Linked DNA regions of Rhinolophus ferrumequinum. The protein of the gene in region 2 binds, or shares a complex with, the protein of the main gene of each other region. Links are inferred from orthologs where the notes say so. Each region holds a gene or a part of one and is shown on either strand. Other genes may lie near its edges. The genes, in order: CHTOP, THOC5, THOC7 and THOC2.

Region 1 (7,103 bases), on a different chromosome or scaffold from region 2:
GAGCCCAGCCACCAAGCTTCCAGATCAGGCTCTCCTACCACGAAGCCCTCCAGTGCCCTCTCAAGCCTCCCTCAATCTCCCAGGAGCTGGGGAGGGGTCCCAGCGCTTGGCTCACTTCCGGTGGGATAAGCTGGAGAGGACAAATGGAGCAGCTGCTCTGCCTCCCCCACCCAGCCTTGCCAAGAGCTCAGGGCCCAGGGACGTCTGGTAGAGCATGGGCCATGTGACATCAGGAAGAGGGGCACTCGGGTGTGGTACCCACTCCCAACTCTCCCTTTCTCCTCCTCCCCTTTCTTGGCCCAGACCTCCAGACTCCTCTTTTCCTCTTTCTTTCCTCTTTGTTTTCCCACCCGCCCCCTCCCTGCCGAGGTCCTCTCAGGATTGCCCCCACATGAAATGCTTGGCTGCTGGCGAGCTCCAGGCAACCCCCAGGTGCCCGTCCTGGATGGGGCCGGTAACTGAGCCACCAGGCCCCTCCCTCTCAGGCCCCTTATCCCCTCCATCAGCCCCGGCTTGGGTTCCATCTCCCCCATGTCTCTGTGACAACCACGTCTCATGTCCGGAGTTCAGGTGACACTCACAAGGGCCCCATTGAAGAGCTGGGATGTCATCTGATCAGGGCCCATTGTCCAGCCCCTCAGGCCTAGGGAAGGATGGGGACACCTGATCTAAGACACCTGAGCTGCCCCCTGAGGCCGTGGTCGGGCTGAATGTCCCAAGACAGAGAGAAAGAGGCCCCCTGGCTTGGCAGTCCCCTCTCCTCAACAGACCCCTCCATTTTTCTCCCCCTGTCTCCCAGCCCCTTGAACTCAGAGGACCTAATGCACTCGGCCCTTTATCTCCCCCAATACATACCAACCCCGTTCTCCCTGCTGCCACTGTCCCCACTCCAACCAGACTGGGCCTGGAGGGTGGGAGTAGCTACTAGCAGTGACAAGTCCTCATGGGTCTCCTCTTCCCCTCCCTAGAAGCTCTGGCTCCAGGGAAAAGTCTCAGACATTCCTGTCCCTTCCCACCACCACCCCATGGAAGGGCTAACTCTGTGGAAAAGTAAGAGGAACCAAGCTAGAGACATACCCCCGGGAAGTGCCATGCTCAGGAGAGAACAGAGTTGAGGGACCAAAAGATGCCCCATCTGCTGACAGGAAGCTCAGAGGCAATGAGACTTCCTTCCCACGACCCTTGGGCCGCCCACTCAGGCTGCCACCCTCTCCATCAGGCTGACCAAGGGCACCAGACTGACTCCTTGCCAGGAGTGGGCAACAGAGTCAAGTCTGTAGACAGGAGCCCAGCCCACCACCTCCAACCGCAGAGCTTGGCTATGCTAGGCAGGCAAGGTTCAGGGTAAAAATAGAGCCAGAGGAAGCCTGGCTGGGTCCTGTGACCACCCCTGCCTGCCTGCCTGCCTGCCACACCCTCGTCAGTATCTGTGCAGCCAGCCAGGAGACACTGCAGGGTCCACGCAGGCCTCTAGAGCCAGCCCTGCTCCAGCTGTTCCCCCTCCATGCCCCAAACTCTGACTCCCTCTGGCGGGGGTTTGGATGGAGGGACACACAGAACAGGTCTGGACTTAGATCTGTTTGGGTTCCCCTACATTTTAGGGTCCCACTGAGAGGTACATTGTGATGGAGCTCCAATCTCATGGCTATTTGGGCTGTGGGACCAGGACCAGGCCTGAGGGCTCCCTTCACCCCAACCCCAGATATCCTGAGCATGGTCCCCTGCTCACTTCCATGGTGGGGGGTGCATAGGTGAGCTTCGAGATGGGGTCTGAGCTGGAGACGGCGATGGAAACTCTCATCAACGTGTTCCACACCCACTCGGGCAAGGAAGGGGACAAGTATAAGCTGAGCAAGAAGGAGCTGAAAGAGCTGCTGCAGACGGAGCTCTCCGGCTTCCTGGATGTGAGTACAGGGTGGGGGGATTGGGTGGAGCGGGCAAGGGCTGGGGGGCACCGGGGGCCCCTCCCTGCCCTTTCCCCAGCTCACCCCAGCTCAGCCCAACCATCTCCTTCCCGTCCCAGGCTTCTCTCCTGGGTTTTTCCAGGCTCCCCTACTCCTGGTTCAAGCCAAAATGCCCCGAGTTAGTGATCATCTGTCAAGGACCAGGACCTGCGTAGATACAGCCATAACAAGGCTCACAGTCTGGAAAGGGAAGATTGACCCTTGAAAGTAAATTTTGGACACCAGGAAGCACACAGAGCCTTAACAGAGGTGCCAGGAAGGATTCTGGGAGAACATTAACCTGACTGAAGTGGGATGGCTTCTCCACAGAGGCGACACTTGAGCCATAGGTTTCCAATGGAAGATGCTTAGGATGAAAGTAGACATTTTGGGTGGAGGCGTTTGCGTGAATAAAAGCACGGCAGAAAGAAGAGTATGGAGCACACTCAGTAGTTTCGACTGCAGGGAAGGATGCAGAAAAACAGGCTGAAGGAGAAGCCTTCAGCTTCTGAGGTTTTATTAGACCTGGGCTCAAGCTTGGGCGCAGCCACGCTCACTCTAGCTGTGTGACTTTGGACACATTATTTAACCACCAACTGTCTCTTTGTTTCTTCTCTAGAACGGGAATAATGCAACCTACTTCATGCTATTTGTGTTAGAATTAAACGAGACAGTGCTTATAAAGCTCCTAGTGTAGCGCTTGTCCATTGTAGGCGCTCAACATATGATAAATGGGTGTTTCTAACTCTGCCTCGTTGAGGGGCTTACTGTATAGGCAGCAGGAGGCCGCAGTGTTTGTCAGTTTCGAGGAAGGCAGCAGAAGAGTCCCCTAATTAGATGTAGCACTCCCTCTTGCTCAGCTCTGCCTCCTGCTCCCCAATCAATCACCCCCCCCTTGGCTCTAACTGGGCGCCATCCATCTCCATACACCTCCCCGTCCATCTCCCTTCACAGGCCCAGAAGGATGCAGATGCGGTGGATAAGGTGATGAAGGAGCTGGATGAGAACGGAGACGGGGAGGTCGACTTCCAGGAGTACGTGGTGCTGGTGGCTGCCCTCACGGTGGCCTGTAACAACTTCTTCTGGGAGAACAGCTGAGCAGACAGCCCCAGTGGGCAGCGCCCTTCCCCTCTACCCTGCCACCCCTGCCCGTGTACTCTGCTTCCCCCTCACCCCGCGCCCCGCTCCCCACAGTCCCACCCTTGCCTACCCTCCAACAAGGGCGCAAGAGTCGTGGGCCAGGCCTGCAACTCTTTCATTAAAGGCTCCTCTCTCGCCAGTCTGTTGTCCTTCCTTTGGGCTCCGGAACGGGGGTGTGATCCCTCCCCATCTGCCTTATTCGGGGTTGGCTCTTATTTGGAGAGAGGTCAAAGGACCATTACATCTTCCTACTGGAGGAATATTCAAGGCCCGGGAAGGCAGGGGTTCAAGATACCAGCTGCAAGTGCAGGAGACATTAGCTCCGCAGCTGCAAAGCCAGACAAAGAATTTCCCTTCAACCTTCAAAGCCTATTTCGAGGATCTGCCATGTGCCAGATATGGAGTAGGCACCGGGGATACAACGGTGAACAAACCAAACAGACCCTTGTCCTCACGTCCCGTGAGGACGCCAGACCATTAAACACGCGCACATACTGGAGGGGAAACGAAAGAACCCTGATGGGGGCGCACGGGGTGGAGGAAGGGCTGATGATGTATTCGTTCATTCATTCTTCAGCCATTTTCGCCTTTTATTGTGTACGCAAGCATTAGAAAAGTCCCATGTATGTCTTCATCAACATCCACATGGATGGCAGAGGGGGAGGGACAACGTGGGAGGGGCAACAGGCACGCAAAGGTTGTCACCAAATAAGGCTTTAACAAGTCCCAGGTAGAACATTTTGGACGGTCTGCCTTAGACTGGGGGTCGGGCAGGCGCGCGAGGAAACACGAGCATGTGTTGCCTCCGCACCGAACGCGCTCGGAGCGGCCCTCAAGGTTACCGGCAACCGCGTCTGGAACGTAAAGCCCCGCAGGACCCCACTGCGCGGCCGTTGGCCACGCCCCTTCGTGGGCAGAGCACCGCGGGCTCTGGAAGGGGCGACGGCTAAAGCCCCGCCTTCTCCCTAAGGCTCCTCCCCGACCCCCGCGCAGGCGTAACCCAAATCTCCCCGCCCACTAGCTGTGCGTGGGCCTGTCGCCTGACGTAATTGCGTCGACGCCATTTTAGCCGGGCCCACTCCGCACTGGGCGTGGCGGCCATTTTGTTTGGACTCGGAGCGGGAGTTGGCGGCAGCGGCTTGCGGTGGCACAGCCGGAAGGCAGGGCAGGGCAGGCCGGGCGCGCAGGCGGACCACCGAGCAGACAGCCGGCCGACAATAACGAACTAACCTAGCAACCTACCGCTTACGCATCTAACCAACCGCCCACCAAGCGAACCCGAGCCCCTCCGCCGTCAACTCAGGTTCGGCCGGCCCCCGGCCCGCCTGCCGCAGCCGTGGTGGCAGCCCCGGGAGGAGCACTGGCGTCCTTTTCCTGCGGTACGTCGCTGCGGTGAGAAGGAGGGGAAGGTCTCGGGGAGCGGAGCGGAGCGGAAGGGGCCGGCGGACGCGAACCGGGTGGGAGGTGGGAGCAGGTGGGGTGCTGGCGTGGGGAGGCCCCGGGGAGGGGGCGGAGCCGCGGGGAGGCACGCGGGGGCGGGCCTGAGCTGGAACCTCGTGGCGGGATCGCTGGAAAAGAAAGGTTGGGGTTTGGTAGCGCTGAGAAGCAAAACGGTTTGGCCGGTTGAGCAAAGTTGGCCGTCTTGCCAGGGCTTTGAGCTGGTGGGGAGAGGAAAAAAGGAGAAACGCAGGACTTGGGGGATCGTGGGAAAGGAGCGGCGGCTTCAGGGTTAAATCTTGTAGCGCGCTCTCTGGGAGCTAAGTCCCGGGTGAATGCCCAATTAGGAAACCTTCCCTGCGCCCTCTGGCAGGTCCCCAGCCCCTTGCTAAGGCCCCTACTTGATTTTGATATTAGGTATGCCCGTTATCGTTTCTCTAGATCAATGGTTCCCGATTTTGGCTGCACAGGAGAAGCACGTAGGTAGCCTTTTTTTTTCCGCTTCCAATTTGTGACCCACAGACCTCACCACTAGAGATTGTGGTTCAATTGGTTTGGGCCCAGGATTCTAAATGTTTCTAAAAGCTCCTTGCAGCCAAGGTTGAGAAGGACCACGCGAGATGAAGAGCCAAACTCTTCCACTTCCTTTAGCTAGGTCTGCCATTTTGGAGGCTTTGGCTGATACTTGCTGTCCTGTGGAGTCTTTGAGGGTGGTGGTTTGAGGTCGTTTACAAATTTAAGCCCCTGGAAGGCGTTGGAGTGTGCTCTTAAATAGCTGTTGATACAGGCCTTTTTCAGGCGCTGTTGCTTTGGGCCTTTGGCCTTTGCAGAAGTGAGGTCGTTGGTATTGCGATGTGCTCATTCTGCCTATTGTCCTTTGTAGATTACCGGGATTTGAAGATGGCTGCACCGTCAGCGCCGAAAGTTGTGCTAAAAAGCACCACCAAGATGTCTCTAAATGAGCGGTGAGGCAGCCAACAGCAACTTCAGCTCGTTCATAAGAAAACATTACTTAAATTGGCCCTGGGGTCCAATGCACAAAAGCCGGTTTTTAAACTAAATACCAACAGAAGGCTACAGACCTCTGTTCTTAGTTGCATCTTATGTGGTACACAAAGCAAATTGGGCGGTTGTTTCAAAACCCCTTATCAGTAGATTTTTATATTAAGCTGTCTGAAATATTTGTCTGGTGGGATGTATTTTAAAAAGACTCCTCACACCCTCCCTTTTCTTCACATTTTTAACGTTGACACAGGGATGGTGCAGCTCAGTAGCACGGTACCCAGGCTGCAGCCTGCAGCCAGCTTGCTGCCCCGTCCAAGGCCAGCAGTGTTGTGTCTGGCCTGTAAGAGGCAGGTAGCAAGCCGTGAATATGTCCAAAGGCCCTTGAACGCCATTCTTGGGTCTTGTAAGAGGCACTTGCTTTTGCTCCATTTCACCTTCTTTGCATTCTGCTTTGAGTTTGTTTTGTTTTGGATTCTTTTACAGTTAAGTGTTTTCTCTTCCATGCCATTAAACTTACCCTTACAGGAATAATAGAAGAGTGTCTTCACGAGCTCTTAAACAATTGACCAAATCTAACTTTTCAGAAGTAAACACTTGAAATTAGAAAAAGTAATCGTTTGAGACTAAGAAAATGAAGGTATTAAAAGGCAGCTTCTGTCTCTGAGAGCTTTGTTTGTTGAGTGCCTTTGACCAGTGATGTGTTAAGTTGATATTCGACCACAAAAAGATTTACTTAAATGTTTATGTTTTCCTTTTCTGAAGCATATGTGCTTGGCCTTCTCTCCTGGGGAATGATACACTAATTCTGCACGTTCACATGTTACCGAGTGAACAAACAGGAGAATGTGGTGTGCTCATGCGATTTACGAGCGCCGTATTCCCGTGGGCTTCCGAGGTGCTCCTGGCCTGTGTATTGGCCCTTAAAATGCACCCTCAGGTCTCCCAGGGTTTTGGCTTTCTTCGTTTGTCTTTGAAACTCCATCTTGTGTCTCATGTTGTCATCATATCTGCTTATTGCGTGTTTTTCATACCTTCCACCTCTCCCAGCCGTCACCTGAGCCCTCGTTATCACTTGATTGAATGTGCTGCACTTAGCTGCAGTTCTCAGTTTCTGATTCTTGCAAGTTTGTGGAAGCAGAGGAGTCTTTAACCCACATCAGCCTTGATCTAAGTACCACTTTACTTAAAAGTTCGTGGGATCTGGAGCTCCTGGTCTAGCAAGCCATGAAAATGCCAATAAATGTTTTGTAATAAAGCTTTTATTTAAACATCCATTTTGTTCGACCTTGAAGCTTTACTAATATGCTGAAGAACAAACAGCCGATGCCAGTGAATATTCGGGCTTCGATGCAGCAACAGCAGCAGCTAGCCAGTGCCAGAAACAGAAGACTGGCCCAGCAGATGGAGAATAGACCCTCTGTCCAGGCAGCATTAAAACTTAAGCAGGTGAGAGGATGGGTCATACCACTCCAGAAGCAGCTGGTGATCTCTGGCAGGCAGTTCCCTGAGCCTGTCAGGACCTGATGGATGGTTCCAAGGTGGCTCAGGGCAAAAGCTGAAACTTCTCTGGGGGAGAGA
Region 2 (7,461 bases):
AAAATGGCTGCATGACAGATAGCCTGTTAAATAAACCAGAATTAATTTAACCGAAATTGGGTGTTTAGATGGTCAAATCAAGCTTCAACAGAGACTGAAATATTATTACTCTCCTAGCGTTTGGAGTAAACAGAACATCTCTTTAATACAGTCAACTAGTTAATAATACTGTATTGCATATTTGAAAGCTACTAAGAGACTAGATCTTAAAAGTTCTCATTACAAGAAATTTTTTTGTAACTATGTATGGTGATGGGTGCTAACTAGACTTATTGCAATCATTTTGCAATATATCAAATAGTGAATCATTTTATTGTGCACCTGAAACTAACATAATGTTATGCCAATTACACCTCAATTAAAAAAGAGTCAGAATCATTGCCCCCAAAAGGATGAGGCCCTTCATTAATCTTGATTTCGTAAATCTGAGGCAAGTATCATTTCCTACTTAAATTTTAGCCCATATATTTCTCTATTCTAGTATTAAAAACAAACAAAAAATATAACCCATCAAATAATTAAATAGTTAAGTCATAAATGAGCTCGACAGATTCAAGGATAAAGAAATAGCAAAGGAGAAGAACCTACTGAGTACAGGAGCCCTCAGGCCGCAGAAGAGGGTTTGCGGGCATGTGGTTCTGGCACTGTCTCAGTAGCAGACAGCGATGCCAAAGCTCCAGTGGCATGCTGCAGATGGACTGCCTTCTTCTGACCACCAGGAACATTGGAGACACACACCATACTAGCATGAATTCTCTGTTCAGGCACTAATCACGTATATAGGCTTGTTGGTTCTCGGGATGCTGCAGCTAAACTTGATGTGGCTACTTTGTAGAGCCAAGTGAATTCTGGGCACCCGGTTAAGCAGAGGCCACCTTGGAGGCTGTCCCTGTGACCCTCAGCTGCTGTAAACCCACAGCCAGGTGCTTGGCCACAAGCTGCAATTTCTCAGCAGCACGGCAGCCCCGGCTGATCTCACCTGCTCAGTGTCAGAACGACTACGCTTCCCTTCCGATGGAGCTCCATCACTTCGGATCACTTTGGGCTTCCGTTTTTTGCTCGATTCTGATGACATGCTTGTTTAGTGAGGTCAGGCAGAAACAACAGAAACCTGTTAAGGAGATATCTTTCGATATTTTCCAGAGTTGGAACTGGAAATTTTCCTGAAGTCAGAATACTTGTGTCTAACTTTCAGTTCTTGCCATTTACACCCTTGGTAACTCAAGAAAAGTAGCTCAACGCTCCAAAGGCTCAGTTCAATCCCTCAGGCTATCCAAAGTGACCTCATCTTCTCAACCTCCACCTCCTTTAGAAGAACCACCTCACGGACCAAACTATTCAGATGCCATGTAAGCCCATTGCCAATACTATTGATAGATAACTGTGCTGGACCTTGATCTAAGCATTTTATGGGTATGTTCTCATTTGATCCTTTTAACAAACCTTTTAGATAAGAACAAGTACCATTTTATAGATGAGAACACTGAGATCAGAAAGGTGAATGACTTGCCCAAGGTCAAACAGCTAGTATGCTAAAGCTTGGGTCCATCGAATGCCACATCAGCGCTCTTGAGAACCACATTATTGTGCTTCCTAGTCTTGCCACTATGTCATCTGGCAATGCCATCAACTCCCTGGTTGACCCTAAAATTTAAAAGAACATTTCATGAAGCTTTGGGTCATAAAGCATCCTCCTTCCACTACCTCTCCTGGTTGTCACCATAGCCCCACTATTCCCCTTACCCCAATGAATCCTGTCACCAACAATTATTGAGGAGGCCAATAGCTCATTGTAGTGGAGTCAGAGAAGCCCTGAGTTGGAATCTCCACTCTCCTAGTTTATGGCCATCAGTCCCGGGACAAGTCAAGTCACTTCCCTTTTCTCTGGGTCTGTTTTCTCACAGATCAATTAAGAATAACAGTTCCTGGGGTGGCCCCTTAGATCAGTTGGTTAGAGCGTGGTGCTAATAACACCAAGGCTGCCAGTTAGATCCCCGCATGGACCCCTGTGAGCTGCACCTTCCTTAAAAAAATAAAATAATAAATAACAGTTCCTACCTACCTCAGGGGTTGTTATGGACATTAACACAGGAATGTCCTCCACTGGGAAAGGTGATGAAGATGATTTGGGAGCGGGGCTTTAGATGGTACATGGATGATCTTACATAATGTTGAACACCTGAGGAGAAAGTTAATCCCTTTTCAATTACTTTTAGAAACTTCAGATTGCTTCAAGGAGACTGTCTCATCTCCCTAGTTTACCTTTAACATCTATGAACACCAATATTCCTTTGTTAACAAAAGGACTGTCTCAGAGCTGTAGACTGAAATCGGGCCCGAATCATTAACAATGATCTGTTTTATTAAACATATTGATTTTTGTCACTACCTTCTGCATATGGCAAGTGAAAGAAATTTTATATTTACGGCAGAGACTTCAATTTTTCTTTTGAAGTAAATTCAAATTTTAAAAGTGACTCGATTAAAAACCTTTAGTAAACAGTCCTACATGGTTGGTTGATATGGCCAAACCCACAAAGGTGAAAGCCGAAAGGCTTAAACGTGGGAAATCCCGACTTTGGCAACACAGTAAAGAGTGCCTGGCATACCTAAGCGCACAATGAATGTCAACTGTTATCACCATTACCATCATCGTCGCGTCGCCATCATCTAGAGGCTACAACGTGGGCCTGACGATGTTGCAGCTACCGCGACATTTTCCACAGAAGGAAACGGCCTGGAACCCCGGGGTTGGTTCTCCGAGGACGGAGAACCCTGGTTGGACTCCAGCCCAAAGACGCCTTCCGCGCTGTCCACACCTCAATCCCAGAGCCCCCCTGCCCGCCCCGCCGCGGTCCCGATCCCTTCCTCACCCCACGGCGCCCGAAACCAGTCCAGGAGAACGAGCCACTTCCCAGGGCGGAGAGACTGTGAGCCGCGCACCATAGAGAAACGGAAGGAAGGAGCGGCCGGCCGGAAGCGAGGCGCGGAGGCCGGAAGCGAAGCGCAAAGCCCGCAGTCAGCGTGCAGTGCAGGCAGCGGCTTGGTGACGTGGGAGCAAGGAGGCCGCGGCACCTGGGTTTTAGGGGAGGGTCCCAACTGCCAACACCCTCGTACTGCCCTCTAAAACCAAGAAACTGAGACTTCAAGGACAAAGATTCTTATGTGCCTTGTTCACTTTTTCCCCAGCGCCTAAAGTAATGCCCAGCAGCTAGTACATGTTTTGTCGTTATTTGTTGTTTGACTAAAGCCCAACGTAACACAAGAGTGTGGTAGTGCCAAGATTTGGACCCTTGTGGATTTGCTTCCATACCTGGAATTTTCTTTTTTGGGTGGCAGGAGGTTTCTAATTTTGATGCTTATTTTGCTAGTTTAACTCGTTTGCTACTAGACAATATAACCTGGATTCTTAAACCATACACATTCATCCTAACATTTCCCACTGGTAAGGGTAGCACGTCAGGGAGGGCATTAACTCCTTAACACTTTTTCCCCCACAGGTGCATCACTAGTTTACCACTTTACGTCCGATTTGCCCAGGGCAGAGTCACAACTCTAATGCAGCATTTGACAGCTTCAGTGTTTTCTATCCCTGGTAGAATTGTGCATACAGGGAGGGTTCAGGACTTACGGTGTAAATCCTACTTATCTGGAGGTGGAAACACTTGGTATTGAATCCCTGGTTATACAGGACAGTTCCTTCTGCCATGATGGGAGGCCCTCCCCATAGTACCCTGGGCAGTGAGGGGTAAACTAGCCAGTTCAAACTGGGAAGCTGGCCCTGCCTTGGGCACCTGCCAAAGTTCCTTGCAGATGAAGAAAAAACAACGATGGTTTATAGTAAACATTTAATTGTTTCCATCAGGAACTCCAGCACAAGTTTTCCTGAAAGGGAGGCAGAATCAAGTTACCCAGAGGTTCATGAAGTATGGGGGTCACGGAGGAGGCTTCCAAAGTCACTGACCCCACTTCACACACCCAGTAGCCCGGCAGAATGAGGGTTGGATGGATAGAATGTGAAGAGGGAGAAAAGGGATGCAGGGGGAGGGAAATATAGGCCCTGGCCCATACCCTTGCCTGAAAGAAGGAAAAGGGAGGACAGGAGACGCTTTGTACAGGGCTGGAACTACATATTCAAGTTTCCAGCCTCATTATGTAGAAACAGGTGAGCCTCTCTGTCTTGTATTAGGAGCCCCTCCCCAAGTGGTCTTTTGTCACCTCTGTTCTATCGTCCCTATTATGTATTCCAAGTTCTGCAGTTCAAACCCTAGTTCTGAATCCTAAGTTCTACTTTCTGGGTTCCTAGTTCTGGGTTCTTGTTCCTGTTCCATTTTGTTTCCTGCCCCCAGATTCCTTCCATCTCCCTTTCCCCAGCCTTTCTGGGTGGAATATATGGACCTCCTGCTGACTTTGCTAACTTGAAGGCTTCCCTCTTTATATCTTGAAGCAATTCTAGGCTTTTCCGCAGCAAGAGGGACATGGTTTAGACTGTCCAGCAAGTATGTGGCCCAGTGGAGACCAAGCAATGCCTGAGCACCTGGCCTGCTTTGACCTCTTCCCTTCCCACCCAAGCTCTAATCCCTGGACACACTACCTTTTGTGCAACTAAAGCTAAACTGAGGGATTCTGTGGTGCTAACTGGGGACTGACTGGTGGCCTTGAGATGAGGAATCTTAAGGAAGATGTGAGAAGACATAAAAGGTTGTTGTTCTTCATTCAAAGGAATTAAAAACTGCTTCCCGCCCAGGGGAAGGAGTGCTGGGGAATGTGGGAACTGTCTGGGCAGAGCTGCAAATCCTCAGAACCCTGTCATCCTTCAGCTCCCCCTTTTCTGAGCTGAACACTAGCCCCCCGAGTCCTCCCAAATCCGAGAGAAAACAAGGCAGCTGGCCTGGGAGCTCCTCTGTCCATGGCTGCCCTGAGGGAGAAGGGGAAAGAGGTGGAGCCAACAGCAGCATCACTGGAGAGGTGAGATCTTCAAAGGAATCATGATCCGAGACTCCATGTGTCGCACCAACGGGACTGTGGAGAGAGGCAGAGGTCACGGATGAGGCTGAGGCGAGCCAACTCCCGAAACTGGCTTTTGAAGGGGGAAGAGGCCTGAGATGCTGAGACAGGAAAAGCCCCAATGCCCTCCTAAATGGCCCATGGAGAGTACCAGGTCTTCCAAACTGAAAGGAGAGGGGACTTAGGTGGTGATAAAATGCAACACTTAGAAAATTTTCATAATTATCTATTTTCCTGTATATGTGAAGAAAAAAAAACCTAGCATAATAAAAAGTGATTTCAGATACTACTGCTCATGACAAAGCTAGTTAGAGAGTCAAGTAGGGGGACTTAAAGAAAATAACTGTGGCAGTCGTATACGGGTAGAACAAAAGCTGTCAGCGGGTCCTCAAGTGGCTGAGGTATGAAACAAGCAGATTTAGTCCAACTGCCTCATTTTACAGATGGGGAGCCTTCAGCCCAGAGCCGGTCAACCCAAGGTCACCCAGGAGGTCAGACTGTTCCCTCCTGCTCAGAGCTATTCAAACTTTATTGTGCATGCAAGTGATTAATACTTATAGTTCTTGTTAAAGCACAGATTCTAATTCAGTGGGCGGAGGAAGGGCTTGAGATTCAGCATTTCTACACTTGATCTTAGCCAAAAGGCCGAGAAGCGATAGAGATTCAGCATTTCTAAAGGTCCCAGGGATGCTGACACTACCATCATTTGGGACCACACTTTGAAGAGCCTCCGGTAAACTTCAGGAGACGCATTCTCCCCTACACCAGTTAAGTGTGGCAGCCCAGATGTAAGCTCCTTAAGGGCAGGCATAGGCTCCTGTTCATGCTGGGCCCCCCAGCCACCTGTCCACCATAGTCCCTGGCACACAGTGAGGGCTCAGTCAACACCTGCTGACTCCAGCTGGTTCTCAGGGGGCCCAGCAAAGTGGCAAACGCTGTAAGCAAAAGAACTGGCTCGAAAAAATTTGCTGTATGCTTCCTTTGTGTCAGTCTGGGCGAAGTTCAGCACTTTTCACAAATTAGCTCCTGGAATCCTTCCTCCAGCCATCCAAGGCAGGCACTCTCGCCATCTTACAGATAAGGAAACAGCCTCTGTGAGGTGAACCAAGCCTGAGGTCACAGTGCTCGCTCACTACCCTGCTTCTCTGAGGCAGGGACCTCCCGGTGGTGTTGTCATCCCCCACAGCACTCACTTAGGGACTCTGGATCATGTGGCGTGTGCCACCCCGATAGAAACCCACTAACTCATTTTATTAAAAGAAAGTTCCTCATCACTAAAGGTAATCAAGTGAGGCTAGCTCTCCTTGCAGAGGAGATTCCAACCTCAGTTAGGGCTCCTGCAGATGACCTCCAAGGGCCTCACGAAGCCCCCAGAGGTGCTTGCTCACCGGTGTAGTAGACATTTTCATCCCAGCCCCTCTTCCTCCAGGCAGCATTTCTAGTTTCCTCCCGAGACTGCAGATCTTTATAGGCTGTAGGAAAGGCATTGTTTCATTCTTTGGGCAGAGGATCTGACCCTGGACCCAGCACAGGGCCCCCCTCCCACGGCCCTTCTCCCTGTCCTGCTGTCTCTTCCTCCACAATGCCTTGGACTGTTAGCAAACACTGTCTGCCTTGACAATCTCATTCGATCAGTACATTTGTTTACAACTCCCAAATTTATATTTCCAGCCAGAAATCTCCCTCAGGCTCCATACTCATGTATCTGGTGCCAACTAAACATCTCCACCAGGGTATGTCAGCATCACAAATATAACACTTTTGAGGGTCAAAATTACACTCTTAAACCCTCCAACCTACTCCTCTTAGGGTCTCAGTAAGCGACATACAGCTGCTCAAACAGGAGTCTGGGAGTCCTGGAGTCCTCTTCTTGCCCCACACAGACAGTTCATGCAGAAGTCCCATTGATTCCACCTCCGAACTAATTAATTTGTGGACTTTTCAGCAATTTCATTGCCACCACCTTAGGCTAGGCCACTACCTCTCCTGCCTGAAGTAGTGTAACCGTCTCTTGATGCCCCAGTGCCTCTCTGCAAAATACTTCCCTGCAAAATGCTCTCAGCAAAGCACATGGCAGCCAGAGAAGTCATATTAGAACATACTATAGGTCATGTCATGCTGCTTAAAATGCTGCAGCAGCCTCCCATTGCACTTAGAATAAATCCCACCTCGTCCCCATAGCCTGCAAGGCCCAGCCTGACCTCACACTCTTCCCCACTCTTTCCACACAGGGCTCGTTTGCACTCCTCAAAACCCTGAAGGCCTTTCCCCATTGCAGGGCCTTTGCACGTGTTGTTCCCTCCATGCAAAGGCCCTTGGAATGCCCTTCCCTAGCAATTCACAGCTGGTTCTTTCTCATTCTTTAGCTGGGCTTACATTTTTACCTCCTCAGAGAGGCCTTCTTTGTCTATTCTAGCCAATGCAGGTTCCCATGCTTTTCTTCATCATCATCAT
Region 3 (7,051 bases), on a different chromosome or scaffold from region 2:
GCAGAAAGTATGAATGCTCACCATGAGTAAATGAGAGGAAACAGGAAAGACCACAGAAACAGTGGCAGCAAGCGTATTTTTATGGCCACGAGCCTTATAAGTATTTTATTCATATATCTCTTCTTTCACTCATAATACCCTCTCTTCCTTCAATGTTTAAAGAAAGGAAAATACAATTCAGTTCTTCCATACTCTTTCCTGTTGAGAAAAATGGATGCAGGTACCCACTTGTGGAGGTCTTAAAGATATCAGAATTAGACAGCCAAAGTCCTAGGTTTAACTTTCACTAATGAAATCCCTGGGGTACCTGTGAGGGTCCCTTAAAGCAGGGGGTGTGCAAACATTTTTAGAGGTGAAGGACTGGAAAGCAGACGTGCAGTTTTTCACTTAGATTTTTCATTGAAATCACAAGTGAAGAGCAGCAGTTAAATGGAATCTGACCCAGAGACAGGCGATGCTGCTGCGTGCCTATTGCTTCTTTCTGCCCAGCACTCAGGGCCTTCGCGCGGCCACCAGCACCACCATTCTCCTTCAACTTTTCCCCAAACGTCTACAATATAAGAACCAGTAAGTCTGAACTCATTTTTAAAAACTTGACTTTTTTTCCCAAAAGTTTCAATATTTTCATCATACTTATTTGAAAATAACGTACATCGGTATCATGTACCATGTTTGTTTATACATGTTCACGCAGATGTTTATTAATGGTTACCCACAACTAGCTTCCAAGTCCTTCCTGGGCACAAATAAGGGGCTCTGAGTTTTACACCAGGAACTTCACGCCAGCTTCCTAACACCTCCACTAAGTCAGTCTTCTCCAGATGAGGAACTTGAGGGTCAGGCAAGTTAAGTAGCTACAGTAAATGAAAGAACCCAGAATTGAACGTAAGCCTGTTTCGAGTCAGAAATTGTGTTTTTCCCATCACACCCTGCTGTCTTACCAAAGCACAAACCCATTTCTTAGAGTGACTACCTCCCAGTCAGATTTCAGATTCGCTGGAGAGTAATAAGAGAGTGGAACTGAATGAACCATTTGTTCCGAGGACTGGTTGTCAGGCTCAAGTCTCTGTTATGGACCACAAATCTATCTGTTCTAAAATTTTAAATATAATTTAAAAACAGCCACAATGCACTCAAGATAGCATGTCAAGCCCTTTATGTGCGTGCATGGTTTATCAACTCACAGGCGACGCTTTGCTGTGGGAACAAAATGGAAGTCTTTTTGCACCTCTAAGACCACATGACTAGGCTGAAGGAAACTTTAAAAGGCAAGTATTGAACACCAAGATCTACTTTTTCCTACTTGTTTCTCTTAAAAATTATTCGAACTCCCATTTAATAAAAACATCTTTCTCTAACTTTTTTGGGCCCTGGACCTATTTTAAAACCATAGGCTCTCTCCCCAGAAAATCACATATACAAAAAGTTTCGGTCACAACTGTAAGGGGGTCAGGAATCCTTTGAAGCCTATTCGTGGACACCTGCCCCACCCCCACCCCCACCCCCACCCCTGCTCAGAGGTTCACAGACCCCTGGAAGACCCTTGCTCTAAAAGGATATTATAGAAATGCCTACATCATTTCATAAGACCAAGGTAAAGATCATATAGCTAGTTATCTTATCATCCTTTATAGTTTCATAAAGTTAAAATTAAATAAACACTGAAACAAACTTCCTTAACTAGACTCTCATAGTCTCAAAGAAACCAGGAATCTCATGACTTGAGTAAATCACCAAATCTACGGTCATTTAAGTTCAAAGTCCAAATCAGTTTGTTATAGCTTAGAATCTGCTACTTCTTGCCGAGATTTTCCTAGAAAAGAAACATCAGTATGGCCTAGAACTTGAGCTCTATTTTAACGTTCATTAACATGTTAATATATAATCGATCACATGAGAAAGAGACAATGTCTAAAATTTACTAAAATATATTCTTTCACTATATATGATATGAAGGAAAGTCCATTAACACAATTTTTAAATGTTCAGCACACAGATCTGTGTCAATGCAACTGCAAGGTAAATTACGTGGCTGACAAAGCAGATTTTTAAAAGTTCATAAAGGCTCAAATTTTGATGTGTTTCCCACCACCTGACTCAAAAACTTCCAGGAATGTTTATTTTCAGGTATATCTCCAACTTCAAAGCCTTTCCCATCTCTCTTGATCTTCTTCAGAACATTTCTAGCACTGTCCAATAAAGTTGTAAGTTACAAAACGAACTTACAAAATAAAGGATAGGATGTCTCATGAAAATTTAACAGTTACAGAGGACAGGGATACTTATCTATAAACAACATTAAAGATTATTTTAAATCACTAGATACTGTTTCAAAATCTGTATTATGATAATGAGACTAAGTAACAAGTAACTTAAAAAGAACATCGTTTCACCCAGACAATTACCTTTTAAACAATAATGATCCCTGCTAAAATGCCTTTGGGATAGACAATCAATTGACACATTCAATTTACAATGTATAGTACTTAAGACTTAAAGTAATTCTTCTTTTGGTTAGAGTATCTTCTCTCCTAAAACCAAGAAAATGAACAGGGACTGATGCAAATAGGCAGCCAGTGTTTAGGACAATATTATTTCAAAGCCCAAGAGGTTTCAGGCCCTGGGGGAGGGAAAGTTACACCTAAGAATCTTCACTCAACCTAACTTTATTTATTTATTTACCTCTGTGCCAAAAGTCAAAGGTGCTGATTCTTCAGAACACTGTTGAAGAGCATAATTGAAGTTCTGACTTCATATATGAATAGTATTTTACATACACTGGATTCCTAGCTAGAGGTGAAATGAAACACACTTCACTGTTGTTACACATTTGCATTTACAACTCTTCCTCTTTGAAAGAACTGAGAGAAATGAACCCAACTTTAGTAAGGAAACTGAAACCACCAGATCCACGCCACTAAGTGCTACCTCCGGGAGATGAAGAGGCCGGTTACTTGCGGGATAGGAAAATTGGAAAATAACTCTATGATCAATAAAATATCAAACCTGGGTTCAACACTCAGACACGCTGCTGGTGCCCTAACTGAATCTATCCCACTGGAGAGCAAATCAGCAGCTGGGTCGGTGCTCGCCTCTTCTCACTTTTCACGACCTAAAGGTTGCCATTTGTGAGAAACTCATCGAAGTTGAATCAAAGTGACTTTTGGGAAGAGATGCCAATATAATCTGCAGTGTGCTCCGGAAATGTGTAACTTTACATACAAGGCAACGTTTCTCATTAAACACCCCCTCCCCCTTCACTTTCAACTTCCCCTTAAGATGGGGACAGTCACATAGACATTTTCCGAAAGTCAAAGAGAAAAATAAACACAAGCGCCCCATCCCTGCCCAGCGACGGGATTCGGGCGCCGGGGGAGGGCGGCGGGCACACCGCTCTGCGTCGCTCCGCGAACTGCTCCCGGAGGTCGCCAAGTTTCTCTTTCCCCCCTTCCCAGCACCCGCCAGTACCCAGGAGCGAAAGGGGCGGCCGCCCCGGCCGGCAGCACGCGACCTGGATCCCGGGGCCTTTTTTGATCACCGGCCGCGCCCGGCGCAAGTGCCCGCGTTGGAGACCCGCCGGGGCGCGCGTGGGCGCCAACTTCGCGCCGACCCTCGCGCCGCGCCCCATCGGTGCCCTTAGTCCCACGTCCCCCGGGCTCGGCAGGGGCCGGGCACCCACGCCGCCCTCCCCACCCCCGGGGGGCGAGCCCACCCGCAGCAGCAGCAGTCGGGACGGGGCGGCGGGGGCCGCGGTCCGTTCCCCGGAGGGGGCCGGGACCCCGACCCCGGGCGGCCCGCGGCCCCCGCCGCACTGGCGGCGCCCGGGCGAGCTCACCTGGCGGCTGGCGGCGGCCTCCGGGGCGGCCTCTGGGCGTGGGCCGGGCGGGGGCGGCAGGGGGGGCGGCGGGGGCCGGGGCTGCAGCCGGGCCGCCGCCGCCTGCCTGGCCTGGCTCCCACACGCGCGGGCCGCGGCCGCCCCCGGGGAGTGCGGGGAGCGCGGGGAGCGCGGGTCCGGCGGCGGCGGCGGCGCGGCGCGGCTCAGGCGTCGGAGCGGGCGGCCGCAGGCGCCGCCGCCTCCTCCTCCATGGCTGTTTACCCGGCTGCATTGTGGGAATTTGACCTCCGCCGCCGCCAACCGCCGCCTCAGCCTGCGCCGCCGCCGCCGCCGCGCACGCCATGGGAGCCGTGACTGACGGTGAGGCCGCTCGCCGCCGCCCGGCCCGCTCCCCGGACTCCCTCGGCCTCCCCCGGGACCCCCAGGCTCCACGGCCGCTTCCGGGAGTCCCCGGGCCTCGGCGATCAGACCCCTCCCCGGAGGCCGGGGCTTTCCCGGCCGCTTCCCCCGAGCCCTCCGGCCTCGCTCCGCAGCCCCTCGGCCCCCTCGGAGCCCCTCTCGCTCCCGGGGCCGCTCGCTCTCCGGAGGCCACGCGGGGCCCGGGGGGTTGTGCTGGGATCGTCGGGAGGCCGGGAGGCACACGTGGGGGCCCGGGAAGGCTGGGAGCGCTGCGTGGGCGGGTGGTACCGGAAGGGGTCCGGGCTGTCGGAGGATGTGGTGGAGGAGCCCTCGGTGGGGGTGGGGGGTCCGGGAGGCCCGCGAAGGGGAGGAAGTGCGGGAGGCCCTGGATCCGGGGGTCCGGAGGGCCCGTGGGGGGCTGGGGGGAGTGCGAGCCCCAGGGATGGGGCGAGGGTTTCGGGCCACGCAGGAAGGAGACACGTTCCGGGACGAGTGTAGCAGGGGCGCCCGCGTATAGCGGGTGACACCTGGAGGAGTCCGGGACCGGTGGGGAAGGGCCCCGGCACGACGGGGTGGATCCCAGTGAGGCCCGGAACTGGCCCCGGCTGGCGGTGGGGAGAGGAGCCGAGGACGGCCCCGAAAAGGAGGTGTGGGCCGGGCGTCTGCCGGACGGTCAGCGTGCACGGGGGTCTGTGGGGTGAGAGCCGGAGGAGGGGTCGGGCCTCCCGGGTGGAGCGAGGCGACGAAAGGAGCGCGTGTGTCTCGGGGAGAGTGCGTCGTCAGCTGGGACCGGGGGCAGGGGCAGGGGCTGGCCTTGTGGGGAGCTGTGAGGGCGGTTTAGGGGGGTGGACCCCCGTGAGGAGGGCCCAGCGGGTGGTCGGTGCCCCGAGAGCAGAAATGAAACAGGGCGATGCCTCGGGGAAGGTGAACAGGCTCCGTGGGCAACTGCGGGGGGAACCTGAGAAGGTTATCAGTTTGGGAGGAAGGAAGTTCTGTGACATCTGGGCGGGGGGGGGGGGGCCAGGTCGCTGGGTCTACTTGAAGAGAGTGACTAGTAAGCGTAGATGCCTGCGGAGAGGCCACTTCTGAAAAACTGGAGGTAGGAGGGACCTCCACGTTAAGGGGCTCGGCACTGGGAAGGAGAGTAAAAGGCCCCGATTTGAGGATGTGGTGAGAGTAGTGAAGTGGGAGGCTCTTAACGGTCCAGCTCCGTCGCTGGAAATTTTAACTTTGCTTTATTCCAGTTTGATTTATTCAGTAGATATTTATCCCCCTGGGCTCGGCTTTGGGATTCCAGCCGAGAACCAACAGGCGAGACCTTTTGCCCCGCTGAGAGTACAGTCTAGTGGGAAAGACACAGTGGATAACTCGTTTTAAGCCTGGCAAACGTTACGGCAGGAGAAGTGTAAGCTTGAGAACTGGGGAAGCTTGTAACAAAGATGGCTAATCATTCTGGGAGATCAGAAAGCGTCCCTGAAAAAGTTAGTCTTAATCCCATTTTTGAAGGATAAATAGACGTAGTTGGACTTGAATGACGTGTGCAAAAGCCCCAAAGTCTAGAAAAAACTCAAAAATGACAAATACTGCCTAGAATTTAGAAAGTTGTGAACCAGAGATTTCTGAGTGCAATGCATTAAAAAAACAACCACACTCTCTACTATGTGAAGAATGATGAGAGGAAGGGAAAAGCGAGGAGTTGTAAGTTCCCACCCCTATTTCTAACATTTATATAGTGTTATCGTATGTCAAACAGTGTTGTGATTTTTATTCCCACTTTACAGATGGAAGTGGAACACATATATGTATTAAGAAACTTGCCCAAGGTTGCACAGGTAGTAAGTTGTAGAGCCCGGGCTCTCAGCTGCTACTGTAATGGTCCTACTGAGAGCTAATGGGGGCACCACTGAAGAAGGAATGCAGAGAAGTGGACAGGTGGGGGAGAGATTTATGGGGGCGAATGTCAGGATCTCAACGATGGAGTGGATGGCAGGGGAAAGATGGAGGGTTATCCCAGGTTTCTGATTTGAGTGACTGTATGCTTGTTAGTCCTACTTCTCTTTATTGAGGTGGAGAACTTCAAAGTAGAGAGGAGTTTTGTCCTCCAGGAGATGGAAAGGGATGATGAATTCTAGTAAAGTGACTGACTACAGTCAAGGGCCCCCCGCATGCTTAGAGGCTACAGGAATCTCCAGAAAGCTCTCTGACCTTGTGCAGATTAATTAACCTCTTGGAGCCTCAGTTTCATTCTTTATATGGGGATGATAATAAAATTGACCCCATGGGGCTTTGAGTATTAAGTGCAATAAAAGTTGTAAAGTGCTTTGCACTGAGTCTGACACATAATGTTCAATAAATACTATTAAATGTAAGAGCTGGTTTACTCACCTCTTTCCACTTTCCTTTGATGAGAAATGTGCCTTCTTCCTCTTTCTCTTTTCAATTACAGTTGACATTCAATATTAGTTTCAGAGGTACAGCATAGTGGTTAGATATTTATATAATTTACGAAATGATCCCCCTGATAAGCCCAGTACCCACTTGGCACTATATGTAGCTATTATAATATTATTGACTATGTTCTCTACGCTGTACTTTACATCCCCCTGACTGTTTTGTAACTACCACTTTGTACTGCCTTATCCCTTCACCTTTCTCATCCAGCCCCCCAACCCCCCTGCCATCTGACAATCATCATTTTGTTCTCTGTGTCTATGAGTCTGTTTCTGTTTTGCTTGATCATTTATTTTGTTGTTTAGATTCCACATATAAGTGAAATCATACAGTGTTTGTCTTTATCTGACTTATTTCACTTAGCAT
Region 4 (7,490 bases), on a different chromosome or scaffold from region 2:
TGCTCTAACCAACTGAATCAACCGGCCGCCCCCTCCTTTCCTTTTTATTTTATTTTGTTTTATTTTATTTATTTTATTTTACTTTTCCTTATTTCTTTAGTTTTTTTTATTAACATTGTTTTGTACACCTGAATATTTCTTTAGTTTTTAGTAAGTCCCCTTGCCCCTTCAGGCTTAGGTATACTACTTCCAAGTATTGCTAGCCCTGAGGTGCTTCACCATCCATTTGTTGTTTTCTCTCAATCCTGCAGCACCCTTGTGCATGGTTCCCTCATTAAACTCTTTAATTATCTCCTTTGAGTATGTCATGTGTTTCCCGTCATGAACCCTATACAATTCCTAATATTTGTTTATACATACCTTCTCCTTTTTTATAATCAGTCTTGACAGAGGTTTTTCAGTTTTATTAGACTTTTCAACAAACCCATTTTTGATTTTATTGATATTTTCTCTTGGATATTTTCATTTTTTATTAATATTTGCTATTTTAAAATGTCCTTATTTCTGCTTTCTTTCATTTACTCTGTTGTTGTTTTTGCAACTCTTTTTTTTATTATTGGGGAATATTGGGGAACAGCGTGTTTCTCGAGGGTCCATCAGCTCCAAGTGATTGTCCTTCAATCTAGTTGTGGAGGGCGCAGCTCAGCTCTAAGTCCAGTTGCTGTTTTTCAAACTTAGTTGCAGGGGACGCAGCCCACCATCCCATGAGGGAATTGAACTGGCAACCTTGTTGTTAAGAGCTCTCGCTCTAAACAACTGAGCCATCTGGCCACCCCTGTTTTTGCAACTTCTTGAATTGATGCTTAGCTTTTTTATTTCTGGCCTTGTTTCTTTAATAATACAAAAGTTTAATTGTAGAAATTTCTTCCTAAACACCACTTTAGCTGCAACCTATCATTTTCTATTAGTATTTATATGTAATATTTTCAGTATTGTTCTGTTCTAAGTATTCTAATTTTTACTATGACCTTTTCCTTTGACCTATGATTTATTTCAAAGTATGTTTTTAAATTTCCAAATATAGGTGTTTATTTTCCAGTTGCTACATACAATGTTCTATGTATATCACTAGATCAAACTTGTTCACTTTGATGTTCTAATTTTCTACATTTTTACTGATATTTTGGTCTGCATATTTCTGACAAAGATGAATTAAAGACTCTCACTGGGGTGGTAGATTTGTCTATTTCTCCTTGTAGTTGTGTTAGTTTTTGCTTCATATATTTCAAAGAGGTTGAATGAGTACATTCCAGATTAGTACATTTTCCTGGTGAATTGAAAATTTTATTAATTTATAGTAACACTCTTTAAATCTAATGATTATTTTTCCCTTAAAATCTGTGTTGTCTGATATTAATAGAGCTGTGACAGCTTAATTTGTATTGATCTCAGTATTGGCCTGTTATATTTTCCCCATTGTTTTTACTTTTAAACTTTGTGTCCCTGTGTTTCAGGGATGTCTCTTAAAATTAGTTACACTTTTTTAAGTGTAACCAGTCTGATAATCTTTACTTTTAACTGGAGCATTTAGTTTACTTATATTTTATGCAATTATTGATATATTTAAGTTTAAACTTACCATTTTTCCTTTCAAAATAAAGAGTACAAAAGATTGTAAAAAATAAATCTATCATCTTTGTCTATTTCCTTTGTCCCACTTTTTCAAAAACTTTTCCCTCCTTTCTTGCCTTTTTTTGGATTGATTGATTTTTTTTCCTCTTTCAATGTTTTTCCGCTGTGGCAGTTTGGAAGATATATAATATCCTTTTGTGTTTGTGGTGGTTATCCAAGAAATTTCAATTTGTATATTTTACATAACTAAGTCTTTAGTTAATAAAAAAGCCATTACCGATATACAGCATTTCAACGGACAGGCCCACAAAGGGTATAACATTTGTATTCATTCTTTGATTATTTTACTTATTTTATCTTGTTTTGCTTTATGTGCTTCCTTTTTGATCCCATTATCTGTTTTCACTGAGATGGTAAGATTGCCTAACCTTAGGATTATTGAAAATCAACTTATCACTCTGTTCACCAGACTGTCAACACTGAAACTACCAAATCGCTAGCCTTTACCACAGACCTCAATCCCTGGCTAGTCCATTGGTACCCAAGTGCCAGTGAGATCACCAGGGAACAGTACTCCCAGCTGCTGAGACAATGTCAGTTAGCAAAAAAACAGGTAAGCTAATAACGAGGATGCAAAAGATATAATAGCTTTGCAATCTTATAGAGCAAAAAGCCAATTAGCTGTGAGGAATTCCTAAAGGAGTCATCATCCATGCAAAAATAGTTCTGCAGGCTCTAGGAAAAGGAAACACCAAGGTCTCAAAGGGCATCACTACAGTCAGGTCATACCACATTTGTGGTATACTGAGTAGTGTATACTGCACACAGTTCAGTGTTTGGAAGGAGAAATCACTGTGATACAGTAGCACGGTAAGCCACAATACAGCAGGATATTGTAGCTCAGTGGTTCTCAGCAGGGGGCTATTTTGCATTTCAGGAGACAGCAATGTCTGGAGATATTGTAACAACTGGTGTGGGGAGTGCTACTGACATCTAGTAGGTCCAGCCCAGGGATATGCTAAACATCCAAGAAGGCACAGGATCGCTCCTGCCCTCCCCAAAGTATTATCTGGCTTCAAATGTGGATAGTGTCAAGTGCTGTAGATTATACACTGAATACATAAGCAGCAGGATAGTGCTGCTTGTATCACAGAAGCCATCCTGTAATAATGATTTCAAATTTTTTTAGGGAAGGATCATGATACAATGAGGATTCACTATGCCATTCTGTTAACACATGAAATACTCCATAATAATGAAAAATGAGATTAAAGGGCAGTCATATTTCTGAAACTCCTTGAAATGGCAAAAAGTTTTTATGAGCAGATGTCATTGAAACTGAATGGTGTGTATTGTATTTTCTAGGGGGTTGCTTTAGAATTTCAAAATCAGATAGGACATTAGGAGACTAGATATAGCTGATGAAATACAATAATAATGTAGCATTTCCCCAGAACTATTCTGAATACAGTCTAATCCCTGAACTGTTTTTTCCACACAGGTGAACCTGGTCTATTTGGCAAAACTTGCCAAATTGAGACGATATTAGTTCTAAAGTTCATATGTTAATATATGTGTGGTAAGATTTCTTCATTTTGTTTGTCTGTATTTTCTAAATTTTCTGCTAAAGATATATTTTTGAAACCTTATTTTGAAAAGTTGCACAAATAGAAAAGAGAACCCCTGTATGTCCTTTACCCAGATTCCCAAAATATTCATATTTTACATTTGCTTAATCATCCTATCTTTTTTGTTTTCTGAAACATTCTAGAGTAAATTGCAACATAATGCCCTATTATCTCTAAATACTTCAGTGGGCATTTTCTTAAATACGGACTTTCTCTCCCTATAACCAAGGTATGAGCACTACAAACCAAGAAATTACCATTGATGCAATGTTATTACTTAACCTATAGATATTCAAATGTAGTCAATTGTCCCAATAATGCCCTTTTTTTAGCATAAGAAAATGTTTTTTCTGGCTGGGGATCAGCTGTCACTACCGTAGTTTTCGTTAATCTGGAAGAGTTCCTCACTCCTCGTCTTTAGTGATCTTGACGATTTTGAATAGCGCAGGCCAGTAATTTTGTAGACTGTCCCTCAATATGGGTTTGTCTGATGTTCCCTCACGATTAAAAGCAGGTTATGCGAATTTTTGGCATGACCAGTACTACAAAATTGGTTCGTGTTTTCCTTAGCACCTTATCAGGAGGCACATGATGCCCATTTGTCTAATTTCTGGGGATGCTTCTTTTCATCCCCAGATGAAACATTGTTTTGTCAAGTTTTTCCACCTTAAAGTTTCCATTTCGCCCTTTGAAGTAGTATCTGGTCGGGAGATACTTTGATACTAAGTAATGTAAATAAGTTGTTTCTCATGATACGTACTCCCCCTCGTTTTGCCTAAGGTTACAAAGACCTGGGAGACACTATGGGGTGTCGGCACTGGTGGCTGCGTTTCCCAGGGCCGATTTCTCTTTTTCTCGCTAGATTGTACTAGCATAATGTCTGGCACACAGTAAATGGGTACTTCTTCTATGAGTATTTTTATTTTTAATCTCAGCAGTTAGCAAGGTGTATTGTAATCGAGCTGCTTGTATGTTTGTCTTTCCCACAGACTGTGAGCTCGTTGAGGATAGGCATCATGGTTTATTGTTTTTCTATTCCCAGTGTCTAGCACATATTAGGTGTTTGGAAAATATATGTTTTAATTAGTAGCCTTAAGTAGATACTACGGAAGAAGATAAGGGCTACGAGTCGGCCTGGGGATGGCACTTTTCCTGTTCGAAAGGGAAGTGAGGGCAAGGGTGGCATAGGGCGCGGCCAGCGACGTCACTCTGCGAAGGGGCCCACGGGTCTGGGCCACCTCGTTGGCCACAGGGCCTTAGGCTTCCTCAGGGTGGGGAGGACCGTGGAGCGGGAAATCGAAAAGTGAACTCGCAGCTCCCGGCATTCTCAGTGGGCGGTGCTCCCCTTTGACCTCTAGCTCGCGTGCTACACATCCGGGCTTCTGTTACTAGTGAGAGGAAGATGGCGGCCGCAACGGTGGTGCTTCCCGTAGAGTGGATAAAGAACTGGGAGAAATCTGGGAGAGGCGAATTGTGAGTGTCCGAGCTGGAGGCGGGCGCACGGCCGGGCCGGGCCCGGGAGTTACTCTCACATGTGAGAGGAGGTTGCGGGGTGGGGGTGGGAGGTGAGGTGTCCCCTCCCCCATCCGGGCGGCGGGTGTGGATGGCTAGGAGTTTCGAACTCGGGGAGGAGAGCTACTGTTAACCGCCGCCGATCTCCTTCCTTCCCTGGCCTCCCCGAAATCCCTGCTGCCCGCCGTAGCCTGCCTTCCTTTAGCCTCTTAGCAGAACTCCTGTTTCGTCCCTGCGCTCCTGCTCTGCTCTCTCTTTTTGTCCCCCTTTTCGCTTGAGCTCACTTGGCTCCTTTCTCCTTAAGGGGCCGCGCCGGGTGGGTTCGGACTTTCCATCTCTCTCTGTCCCATTTCTTCACTCTGCACCCGTTCGACTCCGCAGTTTGGAGCCCGGCGCCCCCTCTTCCAGAAGTCGGAGGAGGGCGAACCATCCCGGACTCCTTCCCTTCTTCTCCGCCCGCCGCCGCGAAACCCGGGGCGTCGCGAACAGCCCCTCTTGTCACCTCTCGTCCTCCCGGGGAGCGGTCTCTTGGATTGTCCCGGCCTCGCGGGGCGCCGCTGGCCGTGGGAGAAGTGTAGTAGGGATTGTCGCTTTCCACGAAGACCTACCGGCATTTCTTTGCTCCATTTTTTCACCTTAGAGTCATTTCGGGTTGGACTCAACTTTCGTTATTAAATGTTTCCTAAACCCCATTTTGTCCTGGGACTACAACTAATTTTGGCAACTCTCCAAGGTTCTCGAGTACCTAGAAAAACGCGTTTCCTTTAGTTATAAACTGCCCCCCCCAAGTAATACAGAAAATAGTAATTTGCCATGCCCACGGTTTCCTCGCCCAAAATTTCAGCGCTCTCGAGGGGGGGGGTGATATCGCTTAAGTAGCAAAACCCCAGATTAAAAAAAAAAAAAAAAACCCACAATTTCTCATTTGCTTCTTTGAATCGATTTATTAGCTAAAGCTCAACCCTGTATGAGTTAACGACTTAGCCATTTTTACCATCGTCGCCCCCTAACCCCAAGTAGTCAGTTTACGGTTGCTGGTGGAGAAGATAACGAATCTTTGGAACTTCGTTACTTAGAACGAAACGCACGGGGAACGTGTTGCCGGATCTTGCGCATGTCGTATTGCCTGCCTATATGGCCTCTCCACCCTCCCTCCCCGCGTTCGCACCGCTTTACGAAGTCTTAACAGTGTGAGCTCTAGAATTGGATTGCCTGGGTAAGCGGCCTTCTTAGCCACTTAACTGAGTGACCTTGGGTAAGTTCCTTAACCACTTTGACAGTATCTCCTTGAGTAAATTGGGAATACTCAAAGGATTGTTGTGAAGACTAAGTAATGCCTGTAAAGCACTGGGCTTATAATAAGTGCTCAAGTGATAGCTATTAAATGTAATATTATTCCAATCTTTAGATATTTAAACTTCCTGGACAGCTCTTGCACTGAAAGTCTGTACCACGAAGGTGAGCAGTTAATTGGTCTCTCTTTCATGTGTACTCCTGTACTCAACGAATTGAGACCCTTGAAGAGTGGGGGCTGTCTCATTTGTTTTGGTTCAGTTCTCCAGCCTCCCTCCACCCCAGCCTTTCTAGTATATGCTTAGAGTGCTTGTTTGCTTATTAGCTGACAGAGAAGTCTATCTGATAGACATTCATTATTAACTGGAGCATTTTCCAAATCCTCGTTCTGCTAGTTAACAAATAGCTGTTAGGTTGCTTGTGTGCAGGGAGGACAAGATGGGAAGTTACCAAACCAAACCATCATCGTCATCTATATTACATTATGATACCCCCTCACCCCAACCGATAAATCAGTTCAGTGTTTTGTTTACTTTTAAAGCCAACTTATTTATTTAGGGGCTGTCATTTTTGTAGATTACTCAGCTTCCTCCTTCCAGCTAACTGTTTTTGACAGTATTACTATTATGACTGCCACCTTGGAATGAGTAGTTTTAGGGCTAGGAGGTTGCTGTGACACAAAGAAATGCTGTTTGGCTTCTGATTGGCAGTCGTTGGTGAAAAAAACTGTGATGTAGGAGATCAAAATTCCTAGTCAAAATGGAGTTTTCGATTCACTTTATGTATATTTATATAACCTATGCTACTGGTCATAGTTCTGTGTTTGAAGAGCTGCTTCAAAACTGTTATTAGGACTTAAATGTATATCGTTATTGCATGGCTTGTGGAATGTGGTTTGAATTTCAGTAGCTCCAAATCAGTGTAGTCAGTTTTATAATTGTATCCGGTTATATGAAGAGAGTTTGAAGTTGCTAGTTGTGTGACATAATGAAATATTTTAAATAGTCAAACACATCACCATCCAGTAGTCTTCATTTATTTGATCTCTTTGCCCTCTGTGAAAACTTTGTTGCATATAGTCTAACTGGATATTTTGTATCTTGCTAAAGATAGATGTTAGCGTTTACATTTTATTAGAACAAATGATGTAACTATATTACAAAAATCCTTTCCTTTTCTTAAAACAGCCTCTTAAAAATAAACCAGCAACTGGAAATGTTAAAAATGAAGGTAATGTGCTACTAAATTATTAGTGAATCCATTTATCGAGCTGGCTTTTAGAATATGACCAATATTTAAAATTATATCTTGGATGGATTTTTCCTTTTTAGCAAGATAGATTAGCAGGTGAGCTTTAACTTGACTGAAAATTACTTTTTCTTTTTTATAAAGGCATGATGTGTTTCATGAGGTTCATTTCTTTTTTTTTCTTACCATTGTAAGTCTGTATTCCAGGAGTTGTCAACTGTAGCATAATAGTGTTAA

Evidence for each region.
Region 1: THOC5 (region 2) and CHTOP share a complex: the UniProt entries of both Homo sapiens proteins name them as parts of the transcription/export (TREX) complex. The link is inferred for Rhinolophus ferrumequinum from reciprocal best matches to the Homo sapiens genes THOC5 and CHTOP.
Region 3: the proteins of THOC5 (region 2) and THOC7 are in contact, whole or in part, in a cryo-EM structure (PDB 7APK), measured with the Homo sapiens proteins. The link is inferred for Rhinolophus ferrumequinum from reciprocal best matches to the Homo sapiens genes THOC5 and THOC7. Residues at the interface, in NP_001002877.1 of Homo sapiens: Pro48, Asp51, Tyr52, Tyr55, Cys59, Leu62, Gln63, Met66, Ala67, Gln70, Phe95, Lys99, Leu101, Asn102, Ala105, His106, Arg108, Leu109, Gly112, Arg113, Gln115, Thr116, Ala119, Lys120, Val123, Tyr126, His127, Leu130, Leu133, Glu136; in NP_079351.2 of Homo sapiens: Ala21, Asp23, Ile27, Leu30, Val31, Phe34, Tyr50, Met53, Leu54, Leu57, Cys60, Glu61, Met64, Gly65, Thr67, Leu68, Val70, Tyr71, Asn74, Met78, Tyr81, Ile84, Tyr85, Ile88, Glu89, Ser91, Ile92, Ala95, His96, Lys98.
Region 4: THOC5 (region 2) and THOC2 share a complex: the UniProt entries of both Homo sapiens proteins name them as parts of the transcription/export (TREX) complex. The link is inferred for Rhinolophus ferrumequinum from reciprocal best matches to the Homo sapiens genes THOC5 and THOC2.

What each region holds. Positions count from the first base shown.
Region 1 is NC_046305.1:52,561,750-52,568,852, forward strand, and holds the start of CHTOP (chromatin target of PRMT1 protein), read left to right. Parts: upstream 1-4,097; 5' UTR 4,098-4,462; exon of another isoform or gene 4,463-4,475; intron 4,476-4,974; exon of another isoform or gene 4,975-4,999; intron 5,000-5,403; 5' UTR 5,404-5,420; coding exon 5,421-5,485; intron 5,486-6,817; coding exon 6,818-6,971; intron 6,972-7,103. Other genes in the region: S100A1 (protein S100-A1), read left to right, coding at 1,764-1,904, 2,898-3,041. UniProt on the Homo sapiens protein: Plays an important role in the ligand-dependent activation of estrogen receptor target genes. May play a role in the silencing of fetal globin genes.
Region 2 is NC_046308.1:18,919,319-18,926,779, forward strand, and holds the start of THOC5 (THO complex subunit 5 homolog), read right to left. Parts: upstream 3,012-7,461; 5' UTR 2,874-3,011; intron 2,868-2,873; exon of another isoform or gene 2,217-2,867; intron 2,180-2,216; 5' UTR 2,063-2,179; exon of another isoform or gene 2,059-2,062; intron 1,645-2,058; exon of another isoform or gene 1,511-1,644; intron 1,112-1,510; exon of another isoform or gene 1,077-1,111; 5' UTR 1,076-1,076; coding exon 980-1,075; intron 1-979. UniProt on the Homo sapiens protein: Component of the THO subcomplex of the TREX complex which is thought to couple mRNA transcription, processing and nuclear export, and which specifically associates with spliced mRNA and not with unspliced pre-mRNA.
Region 3 is NC_046300.1:57,897,544-57,904,594, reverse strand, and holds the start of THOC7 (THO complex subunit 7 homolog), read left to right. Parts: upstream 1-4,041; 5' UTR 4,042-4,176; coding exon 4,177-4,195; intron 4,196-4,785; exon of another isoform or gene 4,786-4,906; intron 4,907-7,051. UniProt on the Homo sapiens protein: Component of the THO subcomplex of the TREX complex which is thought to couple mRNA transcription, processing and nuclear export, and which specifically associates with spliced mRNA and not with unspliced pre-mRNA.
Region 4 is NC_046284.1:33,437,069-33,444,558, forward strand, and holds the start of THOC2 (THO complex subunit 2), read left to right. Parts: upstream 1-4,472; 5' UTR 4,473-4,602; coding exon 4,603-4,673; intron 4,674-7,490. UniProt on the Homo sapiens protein: Component of the THO subcomplex of the TREX complex which is thought to couple mRNA transcription, processing and nuclear export, and which specifically associates with spliced mRNA and not with unspliced pre-mRNA.